Coturnix japonica: one gene and its partners. The protein of the gene in region 2 interacts with the protein of the main gene of each other region in a biochemical or structural test. Links are inferred from orthologs where the notes say so. Each region holds a gene or a part of one and is shown on either strand. Other genes may lie near its edges.

Region 1 (7,480 bases), on a different chromosome or scaffold from region 2:
GAATCTTGGATGGAGGGGTTTGGATAGGGGGGGTCTAATTGGGGGGTTCTGATTTGAAGAGTTCTGGAGAGGAGATCCTGAATGGGGGGTTGTGGGTGGGGGTCCCCCCTTGGAGCTTCATGGCAGAGTGGGAACCCCCATAACAGCCCCAGTGTTGAGCTCCCTGTCTGCTTCTGGAACTTTCTGTCGTTTTATTGCATGATCAGGAACAGAACAAAAGCACTGAAAATGTCACTCAGAGCAGCAGCTCCCAGCACTGTACCTTTATTTGTGTGCCAGTATGATACTTAGCACAAGGCACAGATTGGAACTACACACCTCTGTATCTCTGCATCTCTGCATGTGCATATTGACATATCGACATACCTTTATATATGTATATCTATACATCTATGCCTTATTGGTGATAAGCTGATATGTCTTGCAAAAGAAGGGAAGGGAAAGGAATGGAAGAGCAATAAATTCAAGTGTTCTATTTAAATAATGCCTGCAGTTTTCTTTAACAAAGAGTGAGTAAATAAAGGGCATCATATCTTGAGCTTCAACAAGAAGAATGAACTTCTTATCATCATCCAATGAGCATCAAACTGCACAGAAGTCTGGAGCTGAGTTCTGGTCACTTTGGTGTTTGTTGTGGTCTCTTTTCATACTTAATTCGAAGTGCTCCTCATTATGTCCTACCTGCAGAGCTCAGAACTGCAGCTCAGGCAATGGGGGGAGGGATTGGCCCAGGGAGTGGTGGGGTCACTGCCCCTGCACTTGGTCCAGACATAGAGATGTGACACTGAGGGATGTGGTCAGTGGGCACAGTGAGGGTGGGCTGGGGTTGGGCTTGGAGAGGTCTTTTCAAACCTCCATGATTCGATGATTCTGTTATTATTTCTTTGGTTATTGATTTGTGAGCATGTTTTGCACACTGGCCTCGGACACTTCTATGTGCTGCAGGTTGTCGTGGGGCACTGACCCCTCTGCACATTGAGTGCCACAGCACTGGATGTAGTGTTCCCCTGTTTCTCCCTCCCACGTAAGCTCTGGGGTGGGAAAACTCTCAGCACGAGAGCAAAAATGATGGAGAAGCAAGTGGCAGAAGCAGAGCAGACAAAAGACACAGTGTGGCTGAGCCCAGAGGCTTTCAGCCTGCTCACAGCTTGCAGTTCCCTTTAATTTAGGGAACAAAGGAACACGGGGTATCGCCCGGCACCATTCAGGCCGTGGGGAGCAGATGGCCGAGCTCACGCTCATTGTTTCTCACCTCCTCTCTCCAAAAGCATTTTTCTCCTCCTCGGCATCTGCAGCACTGTTTGGCTCCATCTCCTTCCCTGCTGAACAGCCCTTTTGCCCCATTAGAAGCATTTCCCACAGGGCCCTCAATGTGCTCTGCATCTTCTGCTGGGTGGGATGCAACCCAGCAGCAGGAGGTGATGCATTCAGGACGTGATGATGTATTCAGGTGATGATGCATTCAGGAGGTGATGCATTTACCTGACCCCGAGGTGTCCATAATAGAAACACAGCGGGGAAGCAACCGCTGCAAGAGGAGACTCACAGAGGGGAAAGCAGGAAGGCTCCCCAGTGCCCCAAGCAAAGCACGGCCTGCAAACAAATGCACACTTCAGTGCAAATCTATGATATGATTATCAAGTTTTTAACAACAATAAGGGCAGGCACAGATTTTGGAATCAGAGCATTTTGTTCAGCCTTATGGACTCCAACTTTTGCACAGGGCGCACCTCAAGCTCCTCCTGCAGCTCTGTGCCATTCCAGAGCCCATCTCTTTGTTTTGCTACAACGTTTGCTCTCTGCATTTAATTGCTGCACAGCAAAGCGAGGTGCTTCGCTGTAAACAAACCAGCAGCCAGCAACTCACGTCAAAATAAATAAATAAATAAATAAATGAATAAATAAATCGCTTAAAAGACCTCAGGAGACAAATGGCCTTTTTCTTTTTTCTTTTTTTTTTGCACAGCTTGGAAGGGCTGCGGGTGGGAGGAGGAGACAGAGGCAGGGATGCAGGCAGAGATGGATGCAGGGATGCACAGAGTGGTGGATTAAAAGGATTCACATAGGGATGACAGGCAGGGATGCACATAGGGATGCACATAGAGGTGGAGGCAGGGATGCAAGCAAGGATGTGTGCAGGGATGCGTGTGGAAATATGCGTTGAGGATTGAAGTAAGAGATGCACAGAGGGACTGATGGAAGGATGCATGCTGGGGTGAGGGCAGGGCTGCATGGAAGTGCATCTCCTTCCATGCAGAAATGCATGGAAGGTGAAGGAAGAGATGCACGGAGAGATGCAAACAGGGATGTATGCGAGGGTGCACCCCCATTGATATTTGGGATTGGGGGGGGGTGCAAAAACCCAACCCCTTTATAACCCCCCCCCCCCAATATCGCGCAGCCTCCGCTCCGCTCCGTGCAGCAGCGCCCCCTGCAGGCGAACGCCGGCGTCTGCAGGGACTACAGCACCCATAGGGGAGCGCGGCGGACCGTCGGCAGCGCGACTGCGCACTGCGCCCCCGAGCTCCAAGTTTGGAGCTGCGAGCTGCCAGCCCTGGCCCATCATGTAGGTGCAGCAGAGCCTTCCCCAGCACTGCAAGCAGGGGGGGGGGGGAAAGGAAAAACCCCCCGCTCTGCAAAGCTGCCCTGCAAAGTGTGCAATTTGCACGGCCCCCCCCCTTGCTGCAAGGAGAGCTGCTGCAGCGAGAGTCAGGAAAACTCCAGTTGCATGAAGATTGAGAGCTTGCAGTTTGCATCTTTGTTGCAAAACTAGCTCCAGAAGAGAGGCAAGGCAAAGTCTTTTGTGCTCCCCTCCCCCATCAAAGCAAAGGGGAAAATGTCTCAGTCGAGAGGTAAGGCTCCTACTTCTGTTCGTTGCAAATATGCAAGAAGCCGTGCATGCATTTTGCAGTGCATGCATGCATTTTGTCGGGATGCAATTGCATTTTGAAGTTTGAGGCTTTCAATGGCTCTCAGTTGCATTTCCTGTTTAGTATGTGCCTTTTTGCAGCCACACACACACTCACACACACAGTTCCTGTAAGGCAGGGCTCGCACTTCAGCTGTGCATTGACGTTATTTGAATTCTTCTGCGGGCATTACGGAGCCCTTTCTGCCTTTTGCACAGTCAGGACAAGGAGAAGGGTGCGGAGGAGCAGATGCATATTCGCTGCCGTGTGGTGTGCATGCAAAAAATGGGCACGGTGCAGGAGAACCGCAGCTGATATTTGCAGCGCAAAAAAAAAAAAAATGAAATGAAACTTTTGCACAACTCCGGGGTTCTCGAGATGAAAGGTGAAACTCGAGCGAGGAGTTACCAGGAATTAAATATATACCTATGTTTCCATGGGAAAGTATTGTTCTGGTGCCAGGGCTGAGATCATTTTTCCACCGATCTCCCCCCCCCCCTCCCCTCCCCTCCCCTCCAAATAAGATGTGTAACTTTTGCAGCGTGCAGCGGGGCCGTGGGGTGCAGCGCTTTGATGGCTGCAGGGGGGGCTATGGGGGGGTATAGCAAAGCGTCTGCGAGGGGCATGGGGGGCGGTGAAAGGGGGGGGGTGGTATTGCAGAAATGCGGAGGGAATGCAATAGTCCCTGCATGGGGATTGCAATTGAGGCGCTGGGGGAGCTGCCGCTGTGGCCATTCATTGTGGAAATAATGCACATATATCAGCGAGAGGCCACGCAGATGCAGCTTTTGGAAGTGCGTGGATTTGCTGTTGCAATGCATTTTGCAGCCTGGGGGTGGTTGCAACCCCCCCCCCCCCGGGTTGACGTTGGGCTCACTTCGGGTCGTTTTGTGCTTTGCTCCTTTGGTGGCCTTTCCAGTGCTGGGGGGACATGGCAGCAGTTTTCCTTTGTAAGAAAAATGTAAAGTTGTTGTATAATTTATTCCTAATTTGGGTTTGCTGCAGTCATCTTTTCCAGGCAGGCAGGGAATTGTAAAAGTTTCCAATAGGACAAGCCAAGGGAGTTTGATAGGGCGGAATTGTGCAGGATGGGACCCGGAGCTGCTCGCTGGGGGTCCCAGTGCAAGGCAGGGGGTGAGTGGGGGACGGCTGCATGCTGGGGATACCCCCCAATAATAATGGGGAGGAAATGGAGCTGCTGACAGCAGGGACCCACAGGGATGTCCTGCAGCTCCAGTACCAGGAAAGTGGGAAAAAATGAGTGGGCAAGCCACAGTGTGGCCTCAGTGAATGGCACTGTTCTGCACTCTGCTGCCCATCCATGCTCTGCTCCCATCTGATGCTCTGCTGCTCATCTGATGCTGGAACCCCATGTGTAGCTGCTCTGTGTTCAGCCATTTGGTTTTGCAGGATTTGAGCTCAGAGGTTTGCTCCGCTCCTTAGGATGAACGGAACCAGCCCAAATCTGCATTTTGGAGCAGCTGTCTTGCATTGCACAGCAGGCTCCTTGTCAGCACTCTGCAGTGCTGTGCAGGGCTGCAGAAAGCTGCTGGGCTGCACAGCCCTTACCCAGCTTTGAACCTGCTCCAAAGTTGTTTGGCAGCAATGGATGTTTCAGTGCTCCCTCTCAAGGTGGGAACTGAGGGGCTGCTCTGCCACAGCTCTCCTCCCTGCAAAGCATCTCGCCTGGCTCCAGGCAGGAGCACTCTGCAGCCCCCACACCTGTGCAGTGCAGCGAGATCTACTTTTATATGGCCGTGAGTTCAGAAACAGCTCCTTCCTTCTGGCCCTTCCCATAGCAGAGAGCAGTGATGCTTTCAGCATCATCCCTGTGTTACACAGCCACGGTACCTGCTGGGCTCCTCAATGTTTTGTGGCCACCAAAGCACACCAGCACTGAGTTCCAAGTGCTGCTTTCCACTGCCTGCACATTTCTGCCATTCCTCTTTCAAGCTGCAAAGGGATATTTTGGGTTGGATGGAGGAACTGCAGCAGTTTGCTCCCACCTGTTGCACTGCTGAGACCTGGCCTGGAGTCCCATTGGGAGCAGTGGGGCCTTTGGCTGTCACCAATGGGATGATCTTCTGGAACAACTATATGGAAGGTCACGTTCACAGCAAGCTCAGCATGGTTTGATGCTGTAAATCTGAACCTTCGTGGCAGTGGATATGTTTGGGTGTCTTCCAAATGTATCGTGATGGGGAAGTATTCCCTGGAGAAGCCCATGTTGGAGAAGCACCTGCAAACACACAGCGTTCTGCCCAGAAATAAGGAAAGGAAGGGGAGCAGTTGCTATTAGAGCACTAATTATAAATACTTCATGGGCACAAACTCCACTTAACCACGAAATACGGCTGCACAATGATCTGCTTCCCACTTCTCACAGTTTGTTGCTTCAGATTCACCTTTCTGCTCTCCAGCTGCAAAGGGAACAGCAATAGTGAGAACCACGGCCCACGTGATGCTGCTGAACGCGTACCCTATGGACTTTGATCAAAGGCTCTGCACCTCTCCGCCGCGCTGCATTGCATGGAGAGCTCCCGTTTTCCACCTGGACATTACAACGGAAAGAATGCGAATCCAACATGGTGGACGTTTTCTTTTCCAAACAAAACCAAACAACAGCTGTGGGGAAGGCAGCAGCAGGTCTTTGCTCGTAGCGAATTGACCCATGAGCACCGCGTTGTGCAACGCGCAGTTGCTTCGTCAGCACCACCTCAGCGCTCCGTGTGTGCCATGACACAGGCACTTGGCATGGACTGAACAGGGCCGGGTCTGGCTGCAAACCAACCCATTTCAGCTCAAGTTGTATGGTGTTAGTTTGTTTTTTTTTTTAAAGAACTTGCTGAACGGCTATCTGACAATGCAAATTGCATTGACCCCATTGCATGACTCGTTTATGCCACTTTTTGTGATAGGATATGCCTGCGTTAAGCACTTTTGAGGGCTGGAGCACCTCTCCTATAAGGAAAGGTTGAGGGAAGCTGGGCTTGTTTAGCGTCTGATCTCAGCCAAACAACTGCACCGTGCAGCTGAGCAAGGGGGAAATTGTGCACCCTGCACCTCGTGGTGCTGCTCTGCTGCTCCCATGGCATTGCCCTGAGGATGGAGCTGCACCTTGGGGTGTGCTGCACCCATGTTCCTGCAGCATTGTTGCAGGAGGGCAATGCTCCCCGGGGCTCGGCGGGGACAGGAAACCATCAAGCATATAAAAAGCTTGAACTATATGAGCAATTATAGCAATAAAAGCGATACGTTGCAGTGGGAAAGGAGTAAAGCCACGGTTGTGGTTCTTCTTAGGTTTCTCACTACCACACCAAGTGGTGCTCGTTTGTTAACCTTCAGTTCCCAAAAAGCAGACCTTCCTTTGGGGTGAATTCCCTCCTGTGACACACACATTAGCTGCTAAGGTAAAACAAGTGATACTCAATTAAAACAGCAGGAGTAATTTAGGGAGCTGAGACTCTTCATCCTTCCAAGCATATTGGCGTCCATGGAACACAATTAGCATGGAAGTCACAAAGCAGACTCGTCCATTGCATGCTGTGGTTGCAGATGTATCAGATAACTAAGAAGTTGATTTGGTTGGCTTGTTTGGCCCCACGTGCAACCTTGTGCCAATGGGGAACATGGTAATGGCCCCAAAGGCAGCCTCATACCAGTAGTGTGCACTGGGTGATGGTTTGGCTGTGGCGTCACTGGGGATTGGAGAAAACTCAGGGCTGCTCTGCATGTTTCAGCCATGGCCAGAGCTATAATTACAAAAGTTGTTTCATTAGCTGCAGAGTTGCTTAGCTCCCTTCCTTAGGGCCTGGCTGGGAATAGTTTAAGAGATTAGCATTATCAGCTAGAGCAATGTTAGCACTAAAGCAGATCTAGGATCCTGGAGCTTTGCCATGCCAGATATATTCTGCAGCAGCAGAGCAGGAAAGGCCATTCAGTACCACTCCATACCCACTCACAGTGCAAAAAGGTTTTGGGTTTCTTGCTTTTTGTCATCCAAATCCATGTTGTTTTGCACATTGACGAGTACAAATGGAAAAGTGCACTGTAATCCTGGCTCAGTAAAAAGCCATTGGGAGGGGGAAGCATGAACCATTCTTATAGGGCTTTCTTCTGCCTCAAAGCCAAACTGAAAGCTCTCCTTCCCCCGGAGCAGGAAATCCCAAACACTTGGTTGACGTTTCAGGGAGTTCATCCCATCATTAAGGTCTCTGGGGTGTGAAAGCGCTCGTGAGTCATCTCTGTTTTGGAGCTGTTGCAAACAGATGCTGCACATCCTCCACCAGGGCTGCAGGAAGCTGCTGGCACATCCAAGTGAGCAGCACCGTGCTGAGCATCCTCCAGGGTCTGCACCCCGTAATAGCTGAGTGTGGGGCAGGCACTGCTCAAGCTGCATTGCTGCTCCAAAACCATTACATTGAGGGCCTTTGTACATTATGCTGCTGCAAAAAGCTGAGTGCAATGAAGCCCGAGGAACGTTGTGCAAGCGGCCGGAGGGAGCAGCCTCTGCAGTTTGGTATTTGTAAGAAGGATTTCAGGGAAAGAAAATGATTTCCCCTTTTTGAAGC
Region 2 (6,816 bases):
CTTGCTGCTGTCCTACAGAGACATCCAGGTATGTATCTTCTGCTCAAAGACAATCCATCCAAAATGGGATAGATTTAATTTTTGGTGGAATTCTAGTGTGTTTTGCACACATTTTCTGAGAAACTATATAAATAATGCACACCAGTAAAAAAAATTGTTACAGTATCTTCACCGATGCTCTTTACTTCTGGTTATGTTGTTGATAGTGTACTTTCACATAGCTGAAAAGATGTTACAACAGCACCTAAAAAAATATGTAACGTACATCATGTCTCCATGTCAGCATTGCTACATGACAGACAGCCTGTAGTGTGCCCTACTTAAAGGCCATGGTAGCGTTCTGCTATTGATGTGTTCGTGTTCTGACTGCGAGCTATATCACCATGCATATGACATTTCTCTCGGCGACATAACATGTTTGTATGCACTGCAGCTTCTCTGAATGGTACTAGTAATTGCTCGCTTTATTATACATAGTTTCAATTGTTGCTTCTTAAGTGTTTTTAATTTTTGCTTGTGTCTAGTGCTTACCTTGAAGAGTTTTGGAGTACTTCAATACAGACGCAGTTAGTATTATAATTTCTACCTGATATGAACACTGATATATGTTCAGCCCTGAAGCTAACTTGTATTATGAAACATGGAATGGGAAATTTCAGTATGTATATTTAAGCAGTTCAGGAATCCAAATCGTGTTAAGTGCTCTGTTTATTTGCAACTCTTAGTGCCAAGCCATTTATAGTTTCAGAGTGAGGAATGTAAGATCCGGTATGAAATACCAGCTCCTTAGTTCAAAGAAGAGTTTGTATAGGCATACTTCAGTACAGCTGCTTAAAACTTCATTGTTCCTTTCTTTTTGGAAGGATTACGATTCCATTGTGAAACTGGTGAAAACTTTAGAAAAACTGCCTACTTTTGACTTAGCTTCCCACCACCATGTGAGGTTACATTATGCGTTTGCACTGAACAGGTAAGACTCTACCTTTCCTACTACTGTCAAGTAGTAAATCAATACCACAAACTCAATGTGTGGCTGATAATCCTGGTTATAGGTCCCTACTGGAATCTTTGTATACAGGTCTAGGGTTCTCACTGTAGCAGTTCTGGGGACTCTTGACCTTCATGATGAGTTTGAGCTTCCTTTTCCTTTCATACTGCCAAATTGCTTTCCTCTTCCTTCTCTGTGAGTGTCTGTTTTTATTTATTTGTCTTTCCATAGATCTGCATCAGCATTTGAGTTTTTCACTTCAGTGTCTGAGTCTGTAAAAGTAGAATACACTTTTAACATCGCTATTGCCTGACAGCATTGTAGCATTTGTGCTGAGTTAGACATCCTCTCATTCAAGTCTGAGTTCTCCTATTGTCAGGAGACAGGAGAAAAACTTCCATGAAGTCATATTTACTGTGTTACAGTACACATTTTTTTTTTTTTTCACATTCTCCAATAAATAAATAAATAATGTGCAGTGTGTCACATACAGCAACATGCATCACTTCTTTGAGTTAAATGGGAGCTAGGCTCTTGTGCTTTTTTGCTTATATTGTGATTTTTCTCAGGAATCTGAAATACTGGCAATTGAGGATGGCATTAAAGAGGGAATTTTCCAGTGGAAATTGCAGATTTTCTGATCCCTTGGTGTTATCACAGCAAAGATTGCCCTCTGATGTTTAGAGGAGCAGACCAAGTGTCAGCAGGCAGTGCAATTCTCAGATATATGTAGGTTGCTCTAAAAGTAATGCCTCCTATTGTTTTCCATGGAAAGAACAACAGATACAAATAGCTCAGTAGCACTGTTTGATAGAGCAAATTCTCAGCTACAAAACAGTATTTTTCAATATCACTGTTAGCTGTGCATTTTCACCATGCCATGTTTGTAAAAAAATCTGCACCAGTGGAGGTGACCCACTGTCACCACTGCTGAAACACACCACCCACCGTTTCACTGTGCTCACATCTGCTGTTTGGTCTCCATCAACGTTCAACAACTGTCAATAAAGGTTGGTGGGTGCCATTGTTTCTGCATGAGGGAGTTCATTGGCACCCCTTTGCTATAGTTCCATGTCAGATACCATTCTGTCAGACTACCCCTCTGCTGCCATCTTTCACACAGCAACAACATGTAGCAGAATGTTGGAGGGAAGGCTCAGCCTCTACTGCCATAGCACCAACAGCAACATCTGATATCATGAGCCATCTTAAGAGAAAACAGGAGACAGTGCTTTTGGAGCAGCCTTTGCATTGCTTTTTATAAATAAGTATTGCATGATCTCCCTAAGGATTGCTCTCAAAGCTATTCTTACTGCTGTTACTGCTTTGCGCTAGCTGATCGTGAGGGAGAAAACATGTTTGGGGGCTTTTATAAAGAAGGTTTTTTTTGGTAGTGATGTTTTTTAATCTTTGTTTTAAACATGTTTATAAAATAATCCATTGCACCTAGGAGTGCATTTTACATATATTTATATATTAGTCTGTAATCATATCTTTATTTAAAATCATGTATTTAATCTTTAAACGAATAACTGTATATTCAGATTGGTCACAAAAAGGTATTCCTTGTTAACACTATTATTTTTTATTGCAATATTTATTTTTAATAGACGAAATCTGCCTGGGGACAGACAGAAAGCTCTAGAAATTATGATTCCTTTAGTAGAACAAGAAGATCAAGTAGCCTCAGATATGTACTGCCTGGTTGGTCGCATTTACAAGGACATGTTTTTGGAATCTGGGTTCATAGATACAGAAAGCAGAGACAAAGGGACCTTCTGGTGAGTAGTGTCTTCCTGGTCTATGTGTTTTTCTTAGCTTTAGAAAACATTCCTTTAATGAGAACATACTTCAACTCTTTTTCATTCCAAATATTTTGTGTTCTTGATGGTTATGCTAAGTCTTCTAATCTGGGCCTCGCTTACTTGTAAAGAATGAGAGACTTATGTTGTCTGTACGTCAGCTTCCATGAAGCTCTATAAGTTCTTCAGAGCCTTGGAAGTTGAGGTAGCCCTCATCACAGCTTATCTTTCTCCTCTCTGTCAAATGTGAATTCTCTTGTTTTCTGCATTACATTTGGGAATCTGGTCCAGATATTATTCAGGCTTGAATCAATAGGCGTATCTGCAGCCTGGTAGATATTTACCAGCTATGCTTAAAGGTTCTAAAGTATAACTGTGCTGATGCGTAGAAAGTACCATTTTTGTCTTTTTTTTTTTTTTTTTTTTTGGCTTTCTTGCTGATGAAGAATATAAACTCATGCTCAGAAAAGGTTTATTACCTCATCATCACCATACCATGTCTGCGTATTACAGTGGACCACAGTACAAATTCTTATGGTACTTGCCTCTAAAATGATCGTTCTTTTTCCTTTGGAATGTGCTAAAATGCCAACTTTTATGTGGAATAGATTAAAAAAAATTCTTCTGTCTCTTGTCAGTGTCAGGCCTTCAATTTCCAAAGGAAACATACTTGAAATTGTAACATTAGATACTTTTGCCAGAGTGAGCTGTTTTTTTCCGTTACAGTCCAGAAAGAGAATATAGGTAAATACTTGTGCATATACTCCATATCAAATCCTAGTCCTGCTCTTGAGTTCATCAGCTAACTGTTGAAGTAATTGCTTAGAACTGAAAGCTTGATTCTCCTTCTCTCGTTTCACTTTTTTTCAGTAACCTTCAGATTTGAGTTGCCTTTGGTGAAATACATAATTATTCACCATCTGCAGTCATAGAATACACGTACAATTTCTAATTGTTGGTTATGTTTTACACTTTTGTAATGCTTACTGGACTCTTAAAATATACTGCAATAGCAGGAATGCAGCATGTTATTTCCCCCCCTTCCCATTTCATAATTTTGAATTAAAGAATTTATCTAAGCCAAAGCTCCTGTGAAATTTTCAAAATAGTTGTAAAATAATGTTTTGTTTAATGTTAGCTGATACAAAAAGTAAACTGTAGTCCTTATCCGGTACTAGGCATCACCATAGACAAAACAAATTAAATGAACTTACGTCTGTGATAGTGTATCTTGCTTTTTCCTCATTTGTACTGCTTTAAGAACAGATAAACTTTGAGATTTTCAAACATAATCAGGTGAGTTTATGTGTTTAGTAGGCAGAATTACTTACTAGGATGTTTCACACAGCTGTTTTAACATGCTTTTAATAAATGCATCTGTCAGTCATGTTGCTCATCTACCTTCATGAGGTGCAATGATTGCAGTCATAACAGTTTGGGGGAAGGAGAACAAATGCAGCTCTTGCCATGGGTAGGACACTGACAGGCCAGCTCTTCCATAATCCTTGAAGTCTTTGGTCAGTAAGACCAAACTGAAATGATCTGGAATTTGACTGGAACCTGTCCTGGGTGCGCCAGTTGCATTTTGTATGTACTTTATGTTGAATATTGATTTGAATACTCGTGTCAGTCATATGGCAGGCTTCATATGGCTGAAGGGTTGAACCATAACCTAATTGGTGGCCCTTGGCTGGGAGCAAAGCTACTACCAGTGCTGCACCCTGGCCTCAGCGGGGGCGGAAGAAGGTGTGTGCGGGAATGCCTCCACAATTGTATTAGTTTATGTCGAGATAAAGTTTATTATCTTTGTCTTAGAGAAATTTAGTGAATTGCATAAGATAGGAATTTGGCAGCAGAACCAAAGTGTTAGTTTTGCAACAGCTAATGATGTCAGGGTACTTTGTGCTGTTAGAGAAAAATAAATGCAGGAAGTGTGATTTTTCTGACAACTGAAATGTGGAGTAAAAGGCATCTGTGATAAAAAATATGAGACAAGAAATGAAAGTCTGATTGTTAACTGACACTTTCTTGTTGCATACTGACAATGTAAATCAAACTCACCAATGCTATCAATGCTTCTTTCAAATCCTTTTACTGCTACTCATCTTATTCAGTGTCTGTATTGCAACATTTTCCTAAATATCAGCTTTCAATTTTTTGGAGCCCCTTATAATGGAATTATCTAAGCCAACCTCTATCTTTAGAGGAAGACTTCTAAACCTGACTGCTTTTCTGCAAGACTGATTCCTTCTGTGTCATGTAGGGCTTGTCAGTGTGCACCAATTGCACCTGTTGAATTTAAACAAGTTCAGTTAGTGGATGTTAATTGAAAGTGGTTATTTTCATTTGTTGAAATAATTACAAGTTTTTCATTTTTATTTTTGTCTGTGAATTTCTTGTTGATTCTTATTGTTTTTTCTTGTGCATGTTGCAAAAATTATGTCACGGAGGATGCTACTTGTCAATTGAAGCTTAAAGAAGCCAAGGACTGAGTGTAGCAGAAGAAATAATCTCTCTGATCCTAGGAAATAATTTCTCCATCCCCCGTGGTTAGGGAATATGGCCTTTTTTTGTTGCCTGTACGCGACGCTTTGTTTTCAAATCAGTGCATTGTTTTTTGAGGGCTGTTCATCAATTGCTTCTGCAGGCAATAGCTTTTTTTGTATGCCTAAGTTCATCTCTGCCTCCTTTGCCTATATGTTTAACATTGTTGACAGCATGCGTGTTTCCACCTTTGGATGATGCACATTGGAGAAGTTTATTTTATTTATAAAATCTGAAGTTCTGTATTTGTCACTGAAATAGAGAAATTTGGGTACTCATGCCAGAAATGAGGCATTTGTGTGTCACTCGCTTCTGTGTTTATGTATTTTGATATGCTTATGTCACTGGGGCAGATCCATGATCTAAAGTCTCAAGTTAGTGAAAATCCATAAGAGGATTCCATTTAAGAGAAAATTAAAGAGTCCATTAATAAATATAACTGAAACAGGTCTTTTAAAAGTTGATAATACTATTTTTTTTTATCTCTGTGGAAAAACTGTGAATCCAGTAAGATACTAACTGTGCTGGGGTGGATAACCAGGGTCTGTTCTTGTGTAAAGGAAAATGAAAGAGGATGCATATATAAGTAACTAACTCTTAAGTAAGTAAGTCATTCCTAAAAATAGACAAAAAGCACGTACAGAAAACAATATTTTTGTTTCCATGGATTCTTGCTATGTAAACAGAAGATAAGCACCTACAGAACCTAAAAGTATAATTATGTCCCTACTAGATTGTGTTATTTGGAAAGCAAACTTGTATGTTTGTTTTTTTCCAGGTTCAAGAAGGCGTTTGAGTCAGAGCCAACACTGCAGTCGGGAATCAATTATGCAGTGCTTCTTCTGGCAGCTGGACATTGCTTTGATACTTCTTTTGAGCTTCGGAAAGTTGGTAATTACAGCTTGCAAATTCATAGTGAACTTGCTTTCTAGTGAAAGTACGACACGATCCATTGTCACAAGGGGGAAAAAAATCTGATGGTTGCATATGAGTTCTTCGACAATGAGTATGTGAACATCTAAGTCAGTGTCCTCAACCACCACTGATCCCACCTGGCTGAGAGTGAGCACTGTCATGATGACCTGATTCCAGGATGAAGGTCTTAACAGGTTATCAGAACCTAGTGAAAACTGGCAGCCCTTTTTTGCAGTGATGTCTTTTTTTTTTTTTCTTTGAGAGCCAGAAGGAAGGAACGCCTTAAGGGGGAGTCCAGATCTGGGGAAAAAAATAATAAAAAAAATAAAACAAACAGAAAACACCTACGGATCAATAGGAAATACGGGCAAAAAAAAATTGAGTGGTCAGAATGCGCTTAGATTGAGATTGGGGTAGGTTAAGAGAAGAAAGAGCTACACTTCTCTTCAGATGCTGTTTTTGAGGTTTTTTTGAGCTTTGGTGGTCCACTTTGTGATTTTGATTGGTGGGTCTGCTGTATTTGAAGAGAATGCAAAGTCAAACTGGTTTAGAAGTAAGGTGTGTGGA
Region 3 (7,417 bases), on a different chromosome or scaffold from region 2:
CGGCGCTGGCTGCACAACGGGACCCCCGTCAATGCCTCCTACCTGGTGCTGCCCGAGGGGGCCCTCATCCTGGTGGGCAGCCCGGAGCGTGCGGGCACATACGAGTGCTGGTCGCTGGAGGAGGGATTCCGCAAGCTGATGGCCAGCTACTGCGTGGCTGTGCTGGAGCCGGGTGGGAGGGCCTTCACTGCGCCAGAGACTGTCAGCACCTCGCGGAGCACCTCAGCCGTGGGCAGCATCGCAGCGCGGCTGGACGGCAAGACCTACTGGACCGAGTTCCTGGTGATGAGCGGGCTGTTCGCCGCCGCCGTGCTCGTGCTGATCGTCTTCCTCCTGCACCGTCACTGCGATGGCGTGAAGGCACTGGTGGAGCCTGGGGACGCCAGCCGGCACCAGAAGGCACCCCGTAAACCAGTGGAGAGCCTGCCCCTGAACGGCAGCAGCCTGCCCAACGCCGTGCCCGAGCATAAGGGCTACCAGGCGCTGCAGGACAACTACATCGTCAGCACCCCTGTGCATGAGGCGCCGGGCACCGCACGTGCTTTCTCTGAGTCGGAGAAGCGGCCCCTCCACGTGCGGGACAGCTTTGTGGAGGTGTCCCCCGCCTGCCAAAGACCCCGCGTGCGCCTGGGCTCCGAGATCCAGGACTCGGTGGTGTGAGGGCACAGACGGCCTTCGCGCACCACCTCTGCTCTGCTGAGCCTCGCCGGCTGGGATCGGTGTTTGTCTGTGTGTGCATGCCCGGAGCCCGGCCCCGCCGCGCCGCCCACCCTGCTGAGGGGGGTCCTGGGCACCACCTCGGGATGGGGCCGGCAGAGGGTACCGCACGCCCACAGGGATGGTTGGACTTTCCCCAGCCCCGTGCTGGCACAGCCCCGTCTATGCAGAGGGCTGGGGGCGGCCACAGCCCCCTCATGCCCTGACTCACTGTGACGTCCCGCTGGGGGCCCAGTGCCGTGTGTACGGCCGGGTGGTGCTGGTGCGTGGTGGCCCCGTGGATGTGGTGTGTGTCTGTGCTCAGTTCGTTTTTAATACGTTGGAAATGTGAATTGTGTCCTGGGGAGGGAGCGGACAGCGGTGCTCACCCTGTGCCGGGATGGAGCTCCGTGCTGCGTATCTCATGTCCCCAACGTGCGTGTGCAGAAACGTCTGTGGTTTTTACCTAAAGTCCAGGTGTTTCCTTTGTACATGTGTGTGCTGCTGCGCCTGCAAGTGTGGGACCAGGGCCCCTTCCCAGAGCTGGGCACATCCCGTTGGCTGGCTCCTGTGGGCCAGGCATGCACGGCCGTGTGCGGGGTGGGTGTGATGGTGCATGGGGCTGTGTGTGTGGCTGTGCCAGCATGCAGATCCAGAACAGCATCCCTGCGACCCCAGCGTAGGGTTTGCAGTGCTCTGCTGCTCTGAGGCCCCGCTTGAATGATGTAGAGAAGCAGCTCTAGAGCACAGTGCTGCTTATCTGCCTCGTGCCTGGGAAGCAGCAAGCTCTGCACCAAGGCAGCGTGCTGGGGCAGGATGCCGTGGGACCCGCACTGCCTCGCTCCTGCCAGGACAGTGTTCCCCACTTCCTGCCCAGCCTGTTCTGGGACATCAAAAAAGCCACCGGAGGCGTCGGCTGGTGCCGTGCCAGCAGACATGGCCCCGCAGGCTGCAGCAGGCAGATAAGCATCATCACTGCAGGGCAGCGAGCTGGAAGGGCCTGCACTGCTGGGAGCAAGCAGCCGGGACGTGAGAAACAGCTGCAAGCTGGGGCTGGGGATCCAGCAGCACCGGGCACTGCAGCCATCTCAGCATGGTGCTGTTAGGGAATGCTGCGGGCTCCCTGCACAGAGCGTTCCCAGATGGCAGCCAGCCAGCACCAGGCCCGCTGGATGAACAGACACAAAGGGCCCTTGCGCTGCCCACAGCAAAGGTACAGCTTGCTTGCCCTGGATTTCCTTTTGTGCCTCCTGTTAGAGAGCAGAGCTCTTTGTGCAGTGCCTGCTAAGCACGCTGGGAACGGCCTCTGGTTCTCCCAAGGAGGGGGGGATCATGCAGCAAGCTGCTTCCCCAGCAGGACTAGGAGCTGCCTCCCTGCTGAACTGGGACCCCGTTCCCAAGAGCTGCAGCTGGCTCAGGGCAGGGGGCTGGCGGGGGGCCACATCCCCAGCACCCTCTTGGCAGTTGATGCTGCAGCGCTCACACCCCGCTCCTCCCCCCCGCGCGAGACAAAGGCCACTGGCAGCAGGACCAGGTTGGGGGTGAAACCAGAGCCCTTTATTTGTCCTCTCCAGCGCACAAAGGAAGGGGGCCAGGCCCTGCCTGCTCCAGGCAAAGCACTGGCTGAGCATGAGCCTAAGGCAGAGAGGAAAGAACTGGAAAGTGAGAACAGACCCTGAGTGTATTGGTGCTGGAGCAAGGAGCACAGCCCCCACGCCCCAGGGCAGCAAAGGGACAGCACTGCTGGGATGGCACATCCAAAGTTCAATTGGGTTATTGCTTGGAGGAACTGCTCCCCAGGGTGCAGGAAAGCCCCGTGGAAGAGCAGCAGAAGGCACATATGGTACTGTGGGTGGTGAGAGGGGCTGTGCTCGATGCAGTGCGGCATCTCTGTGCCTGCCCTGACACACCGCAGAGCTGTGCTTGTGTGGGGTGAAAATGTGCTGCTGGGACAGCCAAGCTGCTGCCTGCGGTGGAGCCTCACGGGGCCGTTTGGACACCTGTAACTGAGCCCACCAGGCACTGGGGGAGCAGAGTCCTGCCCTAGAGCACAGTGCGGCACTGCCAGGCTGGGGAGGAGCAGGGCCTTGGCTGCTCTCCTCAGAAGAAGAGGGAACATCTGAGATAACAAAGAGACGCGGCAGCTGGAGAAGCAGATCTGCAGGAGAGCCACAGGGCCCTCACAGGACAATCTTGAAGGAGCTGTAAGAGACACGACATGTTCTGCACCTCCTTGCTGCATGAGAAGTGGTTTGTGAGCAACCAGCACTCTGTGGATGTGCTGTGCTCCTGCATAGGTGAGTACAGTGCAGGAGGAAGTTCCTGTGGGAACTTCTAAGGGGTGGCCTTGCCTTGCTGCTCTGGTAAGTGCTGCCTCAAAGCCAGCACAGCAGCAGGGTGGGCTGACCCCTGGGGCCCCTTGAGCTGCTGGAAGCCACGTACCTGACAAAGTCTGGGGAGCGGGAGATGACGTGCTGGAACTCAGAGAGGTTGATGGTCCCATCCTTGTCTATGTCAGACTCCTCCAGGACCTGCAGGACAGGCAGTGAGCAGTGAGCTCACCAGGGCTGGGACCATGCAGCGCTCCCTGCCCAGCTCGGGTCCTCACATTACGGATGAGCTGCTCCATCTCAGTGTTACTCAGCCGTGACTCCTCGCCTTGCCCTGTCAGGCAGTTCACCAGCTTCTCCAGGTCCTTTCTGTCCAGGACCCCATCATCGTCAAAGTCTTTGGGCAGAAGAAAGTACCTTTCTGTGGGGCCCCCGTGACTCAGGTCACAGGCACCCACGCTGGGAGGGGGCTGGGACAACACGTGGGCACGGCAGCTCCAAGTACAGAGGGTGCCCCCAAAGCTGCCCCGTGGGCACAATGAAGGCACTGCCAGCCCTTGTCGCCTGTCCCCCGCCATTGGGTGGGATCCCAGGACACCACATCACACCCAGGGTTACCAAAGATGCGGAAGGCGTAGTGGGATTTGATATCTGAGGTGGCAGCATCACTGAAGACGCTCAGCATGTCGAGGAAGTCTTCGAAGGACATGCTGTCATCCCTGTCCAGGGACGTGGAGAACACGTGGCAGATCCGGTGCTGGAAGGGGTTTGCCTGCAGAGATGGGGAGGGCTCAGTGCAGGGCGGGCACTGACCCACGAGGAGCTGAGCAGAGCTGAGCTCTGATCTCGGCCCAGCACAGCCCTGCCATCACACGGGGCTGTGCCATCACACGGGGCTGTGCCACCACACGGGGCTGTGCCATCACACGGGGCTGTGCCACCCACGGGGCTGTGCCATCACACGGGGCTGTGCCATCACACGGGGCTGTGCCACCACACGGGGCTGTGTGGCTGCATTGCACAGGGCCGAGGAAGCAATCCCCGGTGCTGCACGGTGAGCACGGAGCGCTCCCAGCACGGTTTGTGCTCAGCAGGTGATCCTGCCCAGCCCCCCTCCAGGTACCGTACCCGCAGCTCCGGCAGCGTCAGGATCCGGCTCTTGGGAACGCGCACGGAGCGGGCGTTGTCCCTCTGCTCCCTGGGCAGCAGCTCACTGAACCTCTTGTAGGCACTTGAGGTGAAAACAAGGGCTGCTCTGTGCGGGAGCGGGCGGCCCCCGGCAGCACCGGCAGGTCCGGAGCCTCTGTCTCTGTCTCTGTCTGAGGTGAAAACAAGGGCTGCTCTGTGCGGGAGCGGGCGGCCCCCGGCAGCACCGGCAGGTCCGGAGCCTCTGTCTCTGTCTCTGTCTCTGTCTCTGTCTCTGTCTCTGTCTCTCTCGGACCGGGAGCCGCACCCGCGCACTTCGCACCCCGGGGTCACGGAAACGGCCCGTCCCGGCGCTGCCCGCCCACCCCCCAACGGGGAGCAGCTGCCAGCGCTGAGCCCCCCCCGCCAAGCCCCGGCACTTACAGCAGGATCTCCTGCTTGTTCAGGAACGTCAGCTCCTGCGGGGAGAGCGCGGTCAGACGGGGGGACCCCGAGGGGAGCTGCTCCGCCCCGGACTCCTCCCGTTCCCCGGGTCCCACCGATCCGGGAGCTGCCCCAGACACGGGACCGCAGATTCCCCATCCCTCGGTCACCCCCCTCGGACCTCCGACAACGGGGCTCCCCCCAACCTGGGACTCCAGCCCCAATACCTCGTACCCCCCCACACCTGGTACTCCCCCAGCGCCTCCCGTGGCAGCAAACTGCTGGAGCCCCCCATGTCGCCGGCGCCGCTTCCGCCCCGCACGTCACTCCGCCGCTCCCGTGGCAACGTCCCGCCCCGGGGTGGGAACACGCTGCACGCAGCGCCGCCCCCGGCCCCGCGCGGCACCGCTGGGAGCGGAGGTGGGTGGTGTGACGGGGTGTAATGGGGTGTAATGGGGTGTAATGGGGTGTAATGGGGTGGGGGATCGTCGGGACCCGGGGCCGGGGCACAGCGAGCGCGGCGGGACGGACGCTGGGGGCGGAGGGCGGCGCTGGGGGCGGCGGTCAAGTCGTGCACGCGTTCCGTTTTGTCAGGTCCCAGGCGGCACCGGGCATGGCAGTGCGGGACAGCGGGCACCGGGACGGGCTCGGAGCCGAGGAGTTCGTGTACCACGAGGATGAGTTCATCCTGGACGGCGTGGCGTGGCCGAGCACGGCGCTGTCCCGCTTCGACCGGGCGCTGCTGGAGGCCTGGCAGGAGCGCGAGGAGCGGGGCCTGTTCCGGTACCGGCTGCGGGAGCCGCCCACCCGCGTGCTGCCCGGCCCCATGCGCCTGCTGGCCCAGCTCAACGTGCAGCGCGCCACGTTGCGCCGCCGGCCGCAGGAGGTTCGCAGCGTGACGGAGCCGTTCAGCGCCCGGCACTTCAACTTCACGCAGATCCAGCCCGGGGAGCTGCTGCTGCGGCTGCGCCGGGGAACATCGACACACGGAGACCGAGCGGCCCCGGCCGAGCTGCTGGTGGCGATTAACGTCAGCCCGCTGCTGCGCGGCCACGTGCTGCTGCTGCCGGAGCCGGGGCTGTTCCTGCCGCAGCGCCTCACCCCGGAGCTGCTGCTGGCGGGGCTGCAGCTCGTGCTGCTCAGCGCCCGGCCCGGCTTCCGCGTGGGCTTCAACAGCCTGGGCGCCTCGGCGTCCGTCAACCACCTGCACCTGCACGGCCTGGACCTGCCGCACCCGCTGCTGGTGGAGTCGGCTCCGGCCGAGCCGCTCCGTGACCGTCTCCATGTGCTGTGGCGGGTCCCGGCCCCGGCGCTGCTGTTCTACACCCCGGGCGCGGGGCTGGACGCGCTGGACGCTCTGGCCCGTGACGCGTGTCGGGTGTCGGAGCGGCTGCTGGCGCTGGGCCTGGCCTACAACGTGTTCGTGACGCGGGGCGCCCCGCCGGACGGCTCGGCCGGGCCCGGTCCCGGTTCGGGGCTGCGGCTGCTGCTGTGGCCCCGCAGGCCGAACTTCGAGCCCGAGGCGGATGACGCGGTGCTGGCCGTGGCGCTGTGTGAGCTGGCCGGGTTCCTCCCGCTGCGCTCGGCCGCGGCCTTCGAGCGACTGAGCGAGGCCGAAGCGCTGCGCGCCATCCGACAGCCCCTGCTGCCGGAACCGGAAATGCGCCGCCTCGCCGCCGACCTGGCGCGGCTGCTGGAGGACTGAGCGCCGCTCTAGCCGACCAATGGCGAACGCGGACACGTGACCGGCCCGGCGCCGCTCTAGCCGGCCGGGCCGAGCTCTCTATGGTCGAGCGGAGACCGCTGCCTCGTCGCCATGGGAACGGCGGCGGGCTCGAGCGGCGCCATGGAGGCCGGGGGCGGCGGGCGGGGGGCGGCAGCTCGGAGCGGATCCGCTGCCCCCGGGATGGAGCCCAGAGCTGCCGCCTGCAGCCCCAGAGCGCGGAAGAAACGCAAGAAGTGCAGGCGAGTGCGGCGGGGGGGGCGGCCCGTGTCCGTCCGTGTCCGTCCGTGTATCCGCCCGCGTGTGCCCGGTGCGGGCCGTGCCGCACATAAAGCCCGGCCGTGTGCGCAGCGCCGTCATGTGTCTGTTGTGGGTCCGGGGCCTCGTGCCCGGGGGTGGCCGGGACTGTAACCAACGGAACCGGGATCCGACGGGGCTCAGAGCACGAGGGGGATGGAAATAAATAACACCGAGGGTGGAAATAACCCCGAGGGTGGGGCAGCCCCCAGAGCACGGACACGGGCTCGGGACCCACTTGGCACGTGGCCCATGGCAGTGGGTCACACTGGGCAGTGACACTGCGGGGTTTGGGTAACACGAGTGTGGCACGAGGCAGCTGTTCGTGTCCGCTCCCCTTTGTCGCCGTCTGGTCTCACTGAGCAGCTCTTGTGTCTTTCAATTCCAGCGCCCCATCCATTAACCTGACCAGCTGCAGGTACGAGAGCGGTAAGTCGCAGGATGCGTCGCGTCCCTTTGGATCGAGCCGTGCAGGCGGCTGCTCAGCCAGCAAGGAGCGCTGCATTTCTGCTGCAGAGTCACTTGTGTGTTACGTGTTTGTAAGTGACTTGAATCCCTGTGAACATTCTACACTTTGGGCTGAGGAGCTTCATGCTTTAAAGAGACCCAAACTGTGCAGCACTGCGAGCCCTCATCACCCTGTACATCTGTATGACCCACATTCCTGCTAAAATTGGTGAGAAGAGTTTTGCCAGAGATGGTTACAATGCACGACCTGTGCTTAGGGAAATGGAAAGCTACCATCAGTTCAAGCTGAAGCAGGTGGTGCAGCAGGCTGGATCAGTGCCTGCAGTATCTCTTT

The links.
Region 1: of the proteins of MAP3K5 (region 2) and MAP2K6, one has a biochemical effect on the other in vitro, tested with the Homo sapiens proteins (8 studies listed by BioGRID, with this or other methods). The link is inferred for Coturnix japonica from reciprocal best matches to the Homo sapiens genes MAP3K5 and MAP2K6.
Region 3: the proteins of MAP3K5 (region 2) and CIB1 form a complex in vitro, tested with the Homo sapiens proteins (2 studies listed by BioGRID and IntAct). The link is inferred for Coturnix japonica from reciprocal best matches to the Homo sapiens genes MAP3K5 and CIB1.

The regions. Positions count from the first base shown.
Region 1 is NC_029533.1:6,289,300-6,296,779, reverse strand, and holds the start of MAP2K6 (dual specificity mitogen-activated protein kinase kinase 6), read left to right. Parts: upstream 1-2,510; 5' UTR 2,511-2,836; coding exon 2,837-2,852; intron 2,853-7,480. UniProt on the Homo sapiens protein: Dual specificity protein kinase which acts as an essential component of the MAP kinase signal transduction pathway.
Region 2 is NC_029518.1:49,742,285-49,749,100, forward strand, and holds part of MAP3K5 (mitogen-activated protein kinase kinase kinase 5), read left to right. Parts: coding exon 1-28; intron 29-863; coding exon 864-970; intron 971-2,598; coding exon 2,599-2,769; intron 2,770-6,112; coding exon 6,113-6,225; intron 6,226-6,816. UniProt on the Homo sapiens protein: Serine/threonine kinase which acts as an essential component of the MAP kinase signal transduction pathway. Plays an important role in the cascades of cellular responses evoked by changes in the environment.
Region 3 is NC_029525.1:18,186,286-18,193,702, forward strand, and holds CIB1 (calcium and integrin-binding protein 1), read right to left. Parts: upstream 4,971-7,417; 5' UTR 4,891-4,970; coding exon 4,840-4,890; intron 4,631-4,839; coding exon 4,596-4,630; intron 4,258-4,595; coding exon 4,155-4,257; intron 3,799-4,154; coding exon 3,645-3,798; intron 3,424-3,644; coding exon 3,305-3,423; intron 3,228-3,304; coding exon 3,139-3,227; intron 2,899-3,138; coding exon of another isoform or gene 2,877-2,898; exon of another isoform or gene 2,543-2,876; coding exon 2,470-2,542; 3' UTR 2,232-2,469; downstream 1-2,231. Other genes in the region: SEMA4B (semaphorin-4B), read left to right, coding at 1-660; GDPGP1 (GDP-D-glucose phosphorylase 1), read left to right, coding at 5,209-6,300; tubulin polyglutamylase TTLL6, read left to right, coding at 6,412-6,560, 7,004-7,044. UniProt on the Homo sapiens protein: Calcium-binding protein that plays a role in the regulation of numerous cellular processes, such as cell differentiation, cell division, cell proliferation, cell migration, thrombosis, angiogenesis, cardiac hypertrophy and apoptosis.